Linked DNA regions of Oryctolagus cuniculus. The protein of the gene in region 2 interacts with the protein of the main gene of each other region in a biochemical or structural test. Links are inferred from orthologs where the notes say so. Each region holds a gene or a part of one and is shown on either strand. Other genes may lie near its edges.

Evidence for each region.
Region 1: the proteins of ATF7IP (region 2) and MBD1 form a complex in vitro, tested with the Homo sapiens proteins (2 studies listed by BioGRID). The link is inferred for Oryctolagus cuniculus from reciprocal best matches to the Homo sapiens genes ATF7IP and MBD1.
Region 3: the proteins of ATF7IP (region 2) and SP1 form a complex in vitro, tested with the Homo sapiens proteins (3 studies listed by BioGRID). The link is inferred for Oryctolagus cuniculus from reciprocal best matches to the Homo sapiens genes ATF7IP and SP1.

Annotation. Positions count from the first base shown.
Region 1 is NC_091441.1:27,831,488-27,835,761, forward strand, and holds the start of MBD1 (methyl-CpG-binding domain protein 1), read left to right. Parts: upstream 1-1,348; 5' UTR 1,349-1,606; intron 1,607-2,568; exon of another isoform or gene 2,569-2,638; intron 2,639-2,794; 5' UTR 2,795-2,819; coding exon 2,820-2,929; intron 2,930-4,274. Other genes in the region: CXXC1 (CXXC-type zinc finger protein 1), read left to right, coding at 146-298, 383-529. UniProt on the Homo sapiens protein: Transcriptional repressor that binds CpG islands in promoters where the DNA is methylated at position 5 of cytosine within CpG dinucleotides. Binding is abolished by the presence of 7-mG that is produced by DNA damage by methylmethanesulfonate (MMS).
Region 2 is NC_091440.1:112,284,828-112,288,474, reverse strand, and holds part of ATF7IP (activating transcription factor 7-interacting protein 1), read right to left. Parts: intron 3,152-3,647; coding exon 3,063-3,151; intron 831-3,062; coding exon 192-830; intron 1-191. UniProt on the Homo sapiens protein: Recruiter that couples transcriptional factors to general transcription apparatus and thereby modulates transcription regulation and chromatin formation. Can both act as an activator or a repressor depending on the context.
Region 3 is NC_091442.1:56,405,825-56,409,471, forward strand, and holds part of SP1 (transcription factor Sp1), read left to right. Parts: intron 1-1,845; coding exon 1,846-2,159; 3' UTR 2,160-3,647. UniProt on the Homo sapiens protein: Transcription factor that can activate or repress transcription in response to physiological and pathological stimuli.

The DNA.
Region 1 (4,274 bases), on a different chromosome or scaffold from region 2:
GCCTCCCCTTCCCTGTTCTTTGCTTCCTCCCTCAGCTCCTGTCCTTTTCCATTTCCTACCTGGCCACTCGATTCCTCCCCCAGGAGTGCGCCCCGCTCCTGGGCTCCTCACCACCTCTGCATCCCCTCCCTGCGTGTCCCTGCAGGTGCCAGCCGACGAGGTGTGCGGGTGTCCTCTTGTGCGGGATGTCTTTGAGCTCACAGGTGACTTCTGCCGCCTGCCCAAGCGCCAGTGCAATCGTCATTACTGCTGGGAGAAGCTGCGGCGAGCCGAAGTGGACCTGGAGCGCGTGCGCGTGGTAGGTTGGGTGCTGGCTGTGGCCAGGGGCCCGCAGGCCCGCAGGCTCCTGTGACTTCTCACGGCTCCCTGTGTCCTTCGGCAGTGGTACAAGTTGGACGAGCTGTTTGAGCAGGAGCGCAACGTGCGCACAGCCATGACAAACCGCGCAGGGCTGCTGGCCTTGATGCTGCACCAGACAATCCAGCACGACCCGCTCACCACCGACCTGCGCTCCAGCGCCGACCGCTGAGCGCACCGGCCCAGGCCCGCCCGGGCGGCCTGCTCCTCCGTTTGTTCGTTCCTCCTTCGTCTGTTTCTTCAGCTGCCCCCAAGTTTCTCCCTGTGCCCAGCCAGCACCTGAGTGCCCATCTGCCCCTACCAGGGGGTCTCAGACTGCGTCCGTCGGTCTGTCTCCGCTCTTGTGCTGGGTGGGACTGTGAAGTTTGCTCACCCTTGCCTCCCGCGGTTTTGTTAATAAAATTTTGAAGCAAGAAGAGGACTTGCTTGATGTGTGCGCACTGTGCAGGCTCCCCACGCAGTCCCTGGCGGGGGCGCCCACTGGCGGCACAGTGTGGCTGCGTGTCCAGACCAGCTGTGCGTGCAGCGGCCGACCCGCTCCTGGAAAGTGATCAGGAGCCCCCGCCGGCTCTCCGCGGTCAGCGGTCGGCGCAGGGCTCGCCTGGGGCGGGGCTGCCACGCCCCCCACGCCCCGGCTACCTGCCATGCGGCACCGACCCCTCCCCTGGAGTTGGGGGTCTGCGCGCCCTGGGGCAGCCAGCGCGAAGGCTCGACCCCAGCTTCCCTCCCTTGCCGGTGACTCCCCGTGGACAGCGGAGGAAATGGAGAACCCAGACCAACCTCGCTGTCCACGCCCCCTCAGGCTCGGACTGGCCCCGGCGAGCGCAGGCGCAAACTAGATGGCCCCCCGCGGGCCGGACCAGCCGCCCGGGGGAGCGAGTCGCGCAGGCGCGCGGGTGCCCGACGGGGAGGCGAGCGGCCGTGGGACGTCAGCACGCAGGCACCGCCCGCTCCGTGCCAGGGGCGCGCGCTGCTGTGGACGTCAGCACGCAGGCGCGGGAGCCTGGCTCGGAGGGCAGTGGCCATCGGGGCTATAGCGCGCAGGTGTCCTGTCGGAGGCGGGGCCCGAGAGGCAGGCAGCGGATTTCCGGTTCCGGGAACAACGAACGGCCGCGGAGGCGACAGCTACTGCTCCGGAGGAGGCGGCTGCAGAGGAGGAAGAGTAGGACTAGGCGGGAGCGCAGGCTGGTTCCGCGCCATGGGCCCGCGGGCCTAGAGCGGCGGAAGCTCCCGGCCCGGTGCCAAGCTGGTGAGACAGCCGTGGGGGTGGGAGTGGAGAGCGCTCGGGCGGAGAATGGGGGGGAATTGACGCTCAGAACGCTGACGGGGAGCAATGAAGGGCCCTGGGCCCGACGAGGGGCGGAATGGCGGCGTCGAATATGGAAAGGGAGGAACGGGGCATTTCGGCAGAGGTCGGGAAGGAATGGGGCTCGGAGCGCTGACAGGTGAAGTGTCAGAATCCTAGGACGGGGACCGAGAGGCGTGGGGGCGGCAGAATGCCAAGGGGAGATGGCGGGGCCGCGGGTTAAGGAGAGAGAAATGGGGGTGCAGAACGCAGGGCGGGAGGGAGGCTAGGACGGGGGCTTGGGAGGACGAGGAGAAAGAGCGGGTGAGAGCACTGGCAGGTGGGGTGGCATGGCGGGGGGACAGCAAGGCGGGGCGCTGGGGCGGGGAGGCGTTCGGGATGCTAGGGCAGAAGTCGGGGTCTCGGTCTGCTGAGGGGCATGCAGGATGGAAGGTGGAGGGGCAGGCGTGGGCAGCAGGGAGGAACTGTGGGCCAGAACGCGGAGAAAGAGGGAAAGGAAGGGGCCGGGGAGCTCTTGGGCTGATGAATGGGAAGAATGAGGAGGCGGTCGGAGGATCTGGAGGAGTGGGGGGCTCTCCCGGCGCGGGGGCAGGGGAAGTCGAAGTCATCATAGTGCGGTCGCCGGGTAGGAGGGCGTCAGAGAAGGCTGGGGCAGCTAACACACTGGAGGAGAGACTTCGGGAACTCCTGGGTGAAGAAGATAGGGTGATGAGGAGATCCGGGCTAGGGGACTGAGGACCAGAGGAGCGGGGTGTCAGAGGGTGGGAGGAATGCGTTCTTGGACTGCGAGCGGACAGTGGGAGCGTCCTAGGTGACAAAGGGGGATAGGGCCCTTAGGCGAGAGACAGGGTGTCCTGTGCCGAGGACCGTTACCACAGGGGGAAGACAGGTTCTTGCGTTGGCAGGGGGAGAAATGACGGACTCTGTCTACAGAGGAAAAGCACACTGAGAACAGGGAGCATCGGCGGCAGGCTGGTGAGGAGGGGGAGGCCAGAGGCACTCTGAGCCAGGGCAGGGGAGAGGAAGGTGGGGATGGAGGCGCGCTTCCAAAGACGGTCTCGCTGTGCATCCAGTGCTTGGTGCGGCCCAGACCTCAGTCTCTCTCGTGTCCTCCCTTCTCCAACTTCGCAGGCTGCTGCTGCTCTCCAAGGCCTCCATGGCTGAGGACTGGCGGGACTGCCCAGCCCTGGGCCCTGGCTGGAAGCGCCGTGAAGTCTTTCGCAAGTCAGGGGCCACCTGCGGGCGCTCAGACATCTATTACCAGAGGTACTGGCAGAGTGCTGTGCACAGTCAGGCGTGGGGCTGGGCCTGCTTCAGGCTGGGGTGTGGTTAGACACTGGCAGATTCCACATTTGCAAATTCACCTGCTTAATAAAATTTATTTGTAACTGAAGTCAACACTCAAGGTGCTTTCGTGGCTATCTGTGGCCGTACAGAGCAGTGAAAAATTGGTCGCTTGATGCATGCGTTCCTAGCTGAGGCTGAACAAGGCCTTTGTGTTTCACCTTTTGGACTGCAGACAAGCGTCCTTGCCCAGTCGACTTCCTACCACGTTTTTTGCATTTCTGGGCTGGTGATTTAAAATGGCCCCCAAGTGTGCCGAAGTCTGAGAAGTGTGTTCTGAGTGTAAGAAGACTGTGATGTGCCTTAGAGAGATAACAGTGGGTTAAATAAGCAGCTTGCCGGCAGGAGTTGCAGCGCCTTTGGCTGTGGAGTTCAGTGTTAGGAGTCCAAAATGTGGTACCTCCAGAGGAAGAAGAGGAAACTTGCTAACGGGTGGGTGAAGCTGCTCCAGAGAGTACAGCAACAGAACAATCTGTAGCACTTGATGAGGTTATGGAAAAGACGGGAAAGCAGCTAAATTCGCGGATCCACGAAACGATGACCGATAAAGCATAGTGGCCAGTATTATGAGGAGAGCCGAAGTCATGTTACCTTGTTTTAGGAAAATATTAAACCCATCTCTGCTAGCGCTGGCTGGCTTGCACGTTTCAAAAGCTGATACGACGTGAAAAATGTTAAGCTTGCATGCGATGCAAGTTCTGCAGATCGGAAGTCTGAGGAAGGATTTTTGAAATACTTGCAAAGTGTTATTATAGGAAGAGAGTTACACGGAAGAGTGGGTTTTCAGTGCCAGTGAGGCCAGCTTACTTTATGAGATCGTTTGCAAACCTGTATAACAAATGTTCTTCAAAGCCCTTGTAAATGAATCATTCAAAGACTGTGCAGCTAATCATTTGTGACAGATAGCTGTTCAGTAAGGTATATTTAAATAGCAGCACATGAAATAAGGTTCTGTTTTGACTAATTGATGAAAATGCGACCATGAAACCTTGTGTTTCCCTAGAAGCAGTGGTTTCATATGTACTTTCTAGAACATAGCTACCGTAGTAATGAGAATTGACCGTCAGTGCGTAAATATAGGAGGTAAACAACATTTACACATTTTAGGATGTGTCAGTGACACAGTGATTGAATTTCCTGTGCTCATCTGGATTTCTTTTTGTATCTGAGCTGTTATGTCCTTAGAGAAGTATAATAGAAGAATAAAGACAATTGCTCTTCATCTATATTTAGGTACTGCTTATCTATATATTTATATGCTTGTATA
Region 2 (3,647 bases):
ATAAATGGTGGCTTCTCAAACATTCTCAAATCCCATTTTAACAACTATTTTTCTTACTTAGCTAGAAAATTTACTAAAAAATCTAAAAGAAATTCTATTTTTACTCTGTTTTTCCAATAATCCTAGCCACATCCAAAAGTTGAGTCATCTAAATATCATTAACATACTTGTATTTTTACACAGTGACTTACCAACTCTTGGGGTAGTAGTGCCACTCTGTTCTGCAGGAGATGAAGTATTAAAAGCTGAGATTGGAATTTTCATTTGTATAGGACCTCGATTACTGGATGAACTATAAAGTCCTGATGGTCCTACAGTGGGCAATGAAGTCCTTGTGGCTTGTACAATAGAGTGTGCTGTTGGCACAGCCTGCACAGCAAGCGTTGTTCCTAATGGTGCCGCACTGGCAGGAGAGTTCCTTTGAATACTAGGACTGGGTACAGACGGAGCACTGTTTGGTTTTGTGGGATTTGGCAAGGATGGCAAGGATACTGAATTTTTGGTAAGACCACTAACAGCAGGTGGGCTCTGCACAGATATAAATTCAACGTTGCCAGATGGTTGATTGGTCACCAAAGTCCCTGGATGGCTCTGCAGGAGCTGAGGCTGGGAGGACACCGCAACAGGAACATGCAAAATCACTGGCAAAGATTGTAATGAGATTGTAGGCTGGGGATTTCCACTAGGCACCTGAGTAGAAGCAACAACTGTAGCTGTGTTGGGTGCAGGAAGAACTGAAGCTGGTGTCAGAGAACCCGAAGTTGCTGGAGTCTGCAATTTAGGTTGACTATTGACAACTGTTGGTGGAGTGACAAGGTTGGTTGAAGATACTACAAAAGAAAATGAAGTCTATATTTAAAGAGCTACCTTAATTTATTAGCTAAGACAATATAATACATACAAATCCAACATACTGTGTTGGGTATAGTTTTTCATAATGAAATTTTTCTAAATTTAAATTCTGGAAATTCTTAGAAGTATTCTGAATATATATTGGGTATATCATGAAAACAGTATATAATTTATGATTTATATCTCAACATCAAAAGTCTGAAATTTACCATTTCAAAGTAATTAGCAAAATAACTAAGTAAAAATGTACATTAAAAAAAATAACTGTAAAAAATACTATGAATGCTGTAAATACCAGCAATACATAAATGCAAATAGTAAACCCAGAAAGAGTCAGGACCGTCAACAGATAATAGGTAAACTCTGTCATTATATTTTTTAATTTGGATCATGAGAAACCTGTATTTGTGGACCAAGTTTTATTGAATTCCCTCAACTAATGAAGGAAAGCTCTCTCTTCTGACAATGTACAACACAGAAAACAGCACTGAACAAGGATGGAAGATAAATTAAGAAGACAGTATATACCAAAGTGCAGAAAAGATAAAAATTGTGGCCACTAGAGTTTTACAGTAATTCTGATGTAACTACTTGTGTTTATTCTCCTTGGAATGGGTTTAAAATAGGATTAAGGTTATTTTTTATTGATTTTAAAATCTTCTCAAAATCAGCTACACTAAAAGCAGCAATTATTAAAGTGTAGTACAGGGGTTTCCTGAAACCATTCAGGGACTCAGCAATGCCAAAACTATTTTCATGATAATAATAATGAGAATAAGAAGAAAATATCTGACGTATTCACAGTGTGTTCACTTGCATTGATGGAGCAAAAGCAATGGTGAGTAAAACTTCTAATGCCTTACTTAGCACAACAGTCTCCCCGCCTCATCTGTGGGGGACACTGCAAAGAACCCAGAGGATGCATGAAACATACATGGTTTAGAACCCTCTGTATACTATGTTTTCTCCTAAAAAGTCATACACTGTTTAATGATGGGGAAACAGATGTCACTGTTGTATGAACATCAAAGAATGTAATTAAACCTATAAGGTCAAGACCAATCACTTGACTGGCCTCTTGAGGCAATCAAGAAACTAAGTAAACATGAGAAGTATGAGGCTGCTGCTGGCATAACATGGCATACTATTTTACAGCAAACTTTCTTTTTTATGTTTACACTCTAAAAGTATAAATATAACATAATCATAAATCAGTAACATAGTTCACTTATTCTCATCAAGTATTATGTGCTGTGAATAATCATTTGTGATATACGTTAATATGACTGGCAGCAAAGTGTGCTTATGCCAGCAACACCAAACATGTGAGCAATGTTTTCCACTATGATATTACAACAACTATTCCATCTCCAGAGTTGTTAGCAACTTTTCAGTTCCATTACAGTGTGATGGGACCACTCTGCACAAACCTTAAAAAAACTAGTACTTGCCTGTACCAAAGAATATCTACAATTAGCTAAATGGGCTAGACCTTTTACATCTACATATGCAGCTACTTTAAAAAGCCCATGGAGTAACTGAATTAAAAGGTAAGTTTAGCATGGTTTAAAAAAATCTGAGATCCATATACACATTTTTCATAACATGCATTTTCCATGAACTTCCTTAGTGGCTTTGCTTTACAGGAGACTGCATTTCTTTCAAACACTTCAACCAAACCAATACACCAGAACAGACTGAAAGCAAGTACAGAGCTGAGAATCCAGTTATCTTCAGCTGTTTTAATATACCAAACCAAACATTAAAGATATGTGAATATACAACAATGATACTTTCATATCAGTATTTTTTATTGAAAAATTATGATTTTTCATGAAAATTTTCTCAGCATTACAAATTTTGGGTTTACTATTTTTAAATGAATAAACACTCCAGAATTTTGTTTTAATGTCTATTAAATTTCAACTAATAGTAAATGTCAACTGGTATAATAACCCCACATAAACCATTTTCTTCATAATTAATAATTTGTTAAGATTACGAAGGCATCAAAAGACCAGAAAATTTGAATGTACTACCACACTAGAGATATGTGAATGCCACATACTTCTCTGTGATTCTGAATTTTAAAAATGTTGTACTTAAGACTAATGTGCCCCATTCTTTAGTCATTTCAACCTCAAACGCATGTAAAATAATGAAAACCTTCACCACCTAACAAAATGTATTTCAGTGTTAGGAAATGTTACCTGTATTTACAGGAGTTTGAAAAGATGGTGGTGTACTCTCACTTGCATTTCTTTTGGATTCCAGCATCTGTCTTACTGTGCTTGCATTCCTTTGAAATACAGACACAATAAGTCAACATATATGGCATTCATCAAGACACTAATTGATGTACAGAAAATGTAGTGACTCTTAAAACCACAAACCAGTGTAATGTGTGCATAGTTAGCACACAGACAAAAATTTTAAGTGCTTGGGTTAGGCTATCAGGGAAGAGTCTTGCTCTTACATTCTAACATTATCAATACTTAACCAAAAGAACAAATATAGGTCTTTTACACACACACACACACACAGTCTTTCTTATCCTTCAATAAAGCATTTCTCAACTACTTAAGAGAATACTATTTATGACAAGTAGTAAAAGAATACATAATGGATGAAGAAAGCCTTATAACAAATTAACAAAATGAGTATTAACATGAACAAAAGTAGTATCAAGATAAAAATAACAAATCAGAAAAAGTAAACATACTCAATCCAGTATATCAAACATTTATTTCTACAGAAATATATTCTAAGATTTTTCTACAAAATAAACACCCTTG
Region 3 (3,647 bases), on a different chromosome or scaffold from region 2:
GATGGCCCAAATCCCTAGGCTCCTGGCTTTGGGCTGGCCCAACCCTGGCTGTTACGGCCATCTGGGGAGTGAACCATTGGATGGAAGATCTCTCTCTCTCTCTCTCTCTCTCTCTCTCTCCCCCTCCCTCCCTCCCTCTCTCTCTCTCTCCCTCGCTCCCCTGCTCTCTGAACTCTGCCTTTCAAATAAATTTTAAAAAGGAACTAGGTTTCGGCCGGCGCCGTGGCTCACTAGGCTAATCCTCCGCCTTGCGGCGCCGGCACCCCGGATTCTAGTCCCGGTCGGGGCACCGGATTCTGTCCCAGTTGCCCCTCTTCCAGGCCAGCTCTCTGCTGTGGCCAGGGAGTGCAGTGGAGGATGGCCCAAGTGCTTGGGCGCTGCACCCCATGGGAGACCAGGAGAAGCACCTGGCTCCTGCCTTTGGATCAGCGCGGTGCGCCGGCCGCAGCGCACCGGCCGCGGCGGCCATTGGAGGGTGAACCAACGGCAAAGGGAAGACCTTTCTCTCTGTCTCTCTCACTGTCCACTCTGCCTGTCCAAAAAAAAAAAAAAAAAAAAAGGCTGCAACAGCCAGGACTGGGCCAAGCCAAAGCCAGGAGCCAGGAACTTCTTCCTGGTCTCCTACCTGGGAGCTTGGGCCATCTTCTGCTGCTTTCCCATGCACACTAGTAGGGAACTGGATCAGAATTAGAGCAGCTAGGAGTCAAACTGGTGCCCATGGGATGTTGGTGCTGCAAAGGGGCAACCCAACTCCCTATGCCACAATGCTGGCCCCTCAAGTGGGATTTTGAAAGAGGAGGATTGATCTCATTATTTTTAGTCTCTGTGTTGCCTCCCAGCCTTTTACCTATGGTTCTTCTCCAAAAATTGGAAAGAATTCCGGTCTTTTTCTGCCTAATACTGTTTGAAGGCAGTGAATTAGCAGTTTCTCTCGCTCTCTTTTTTTTTTTTTTTCCTTAAAGATATATTTATTTATTTGAAAGTCAGAGATTGTCCATCCACCATTCACCCCTCAGATGACTGCAACAGCTAGGGCTGGGCCATGCTGATACCATGAGCTTCATCTAGGTCTCTCACATGGGTGGCGGGGGGCCAGTCCCTTGGGCCATCTTCTTTTGCTTTTCCCAGGAGCATTAGCAGGGAGCTGGATCTGAAGTGGAGCATTTGGGACTGGAACTGACGCCCATATGGGCTGCAGGCATTACAGGTGTTAGCTTAACCCGCTATGCCATAACACCGGCCCCCTTATTATTAGTTTCTTTTTCTTCTTTCTTTTATTTTTTTAAAAGATTTCTTTTTGAAAGAGTTATAGTGGGGGCCGGCACTGCCGAAAGCAGTAGAAGATGGCCCAAGTGGTTGGACTCCTGCACTCACATGGGAGACTCAGAAAAACCTCCTGGCTTCGGATCAGCGCAGCTCTGGCCATTGCGGCCATTTCTGGGATGAACCAACAGAAGGAAAACCTCTCTCTCTCTCTCTGCCTCTCCTTCTCTTTCTGTGTAACTCTGACTTTCAAATAAATAAATAAATCTTTAAAAAAAAATAAAAGAGTTACAGGGAAGTGAGAGAGAGAGATATTTCATGCATTCACTCCGCAAATGGCCACAATGGCTGGGGCAGGCCAGATGGAAGCCAGGAGCTTCTACTTCTCTAATGTGGGTGCAGGAGCCCAGGAACTTCGGCCGTTGTCTGCTGCTTTCCAAAGCACATTGGCAGGGAGCTGAACCAGAAGTAGAACAACCAGAACTCAAACCAATGCCAGTATGGGATGTCAGCTTTGCAGGCAGTGGCTTTACCCAGTTTGCCAGCCCCTAGTTTCTTATCTTCTTTCTCTTCTTTACCTAGGTGAAAAGAAATTTGCCTGTCCTGAGTGTCCTAAGCGCTTCATGAGGAGTGACCACCTGTCAAAGCATATCAAGACTCACCAGAATAAGAAGGCAGGCCCAGGTGTTGCCCTGAGCGTGGGCACTTTGCCCCTGGACAGTGGGGCAGGTTCGGAAGGCAGCGGCACTGCTACCCCGTCAGCCCTTATTACCACCAATATGGTAGCCATGGAGGCCATCTGTCCAGAGGGCATTGCTCGTCTTGCCAACAGTGGCATCAACGTCATGCAGGTTGCGGATCTGCAGTCCATTAATATCAGTGGCAATGGCTTCTGAGATCAGGCACCCGGGGCCAGAGACACATGGGCCATACCTGTCAACCCTGGGATACAAGGTAGCATGGGTCCAAGAGACATGTGGGAGAGTGAAGCCATGAGGCATTAAAATGCATGGTGGTGGAAGAGTTGGGGAAGGCAAACGAGAGAAGCGATGGGGTCCCGGCACCCACTTGTGTGTCATCAGTGCCTTTCTGAAGGCGGGAGACATTAGTGAACATTCTGCTGATGCCACCCTTTGATGAGTGTTTGACCCTGGTTTCTTTTTACACTTCTGACCCCAGCCTCTCCTTCCTGCGTTTCCCTTCTCAGCTGTCTCATGATGGATCCCCCCTTTCCTAAAGCCATCATGCCTTGATAAATATATATGATCATTGAAATACTTTTTAACAAAAAAGATTCTATATTATATATATATTATATATAAAAAGATATATAGAGATGCATTCACAGGGGTTGGCTGGGAGGAGGAAGGAGACCATTCTGTGACCAAAATACCTTGGTCATTTTTTTTATATTGCCTTATTTTCCTATGGCTGAGCCTTGTTGTGACACATCAAGCTTTTCTGTGGATGTTGTCTTGGCTACCCACCAGATTAAGCGTTCATATCTTCAGCTTTTAGTTTAATTATACAAACATAATGTTTTTCCTTTCTTAATTTTGTATTTTTATTTGGGATCAGCTTCTTGCACTCCTTTCCTGACTCCGCCCTTTCTGTCTGCCCCTCTCTCTCCTGGTCACTTCACACTTTGTGTTTGATAGTGATCCCTAGGTGAGGCACTTCTGTCCATCTTTTCAAGACATTAGTCCCAGCAGCAGAATGGAAAACCTTAGAACTCAGGCTGATGCTTGAGGTAGCTGTGGCGGGAGTGCTCAAAGTACTACTGACGCAGGCACCTTCTTGGTGCCGGAGAGTCAAACGCATCTCCCCTCACTAGCTGCTGTAAACCTGAAGAATCGGAAGCCTTTCTGTGGAACTACACAAGAGATGCTTTGAAGGTGATGATCTGAAATCAGTTTGCTTAAACTTTAAAAAGTGGTCAGATGATAGGTAGAAGCCTTCAGTAAGAAAAAGATGTGTTCAGAAGAGGAAGTGACTCATAGGAGTCAGATTCAGAAGTTAGTGGAGTATTTGGACTTGGGCACCATTGTCTTCCAGGGTAACACTAAGCCTTGATGTGTGGAGCTCTGAGTTCAGATCCTGAAAGGAAACATGCTTCCTCCTGAACACCCCCCATTAGTTTCTTTTCCATTCTGTTGTTAAGAAGCATCAGCCAATGAATGTGTTCCAGGTTTCCATTCTGCAGAACTCCAGAGCATGTCCTAGTGGCAAGACAGTTGTTCTTAGGATCTTTTCCCCAGACTCTTCCTTGTATGTACTTGGGTGGTTCCTAGGGGAAAAAGAAGCATGCGATCATGGGAATGATAGCCCAGAACAAAAAGAAATCTTGTCTTACCACTGGTTTATAGGAGAGATTGGGAGAAACC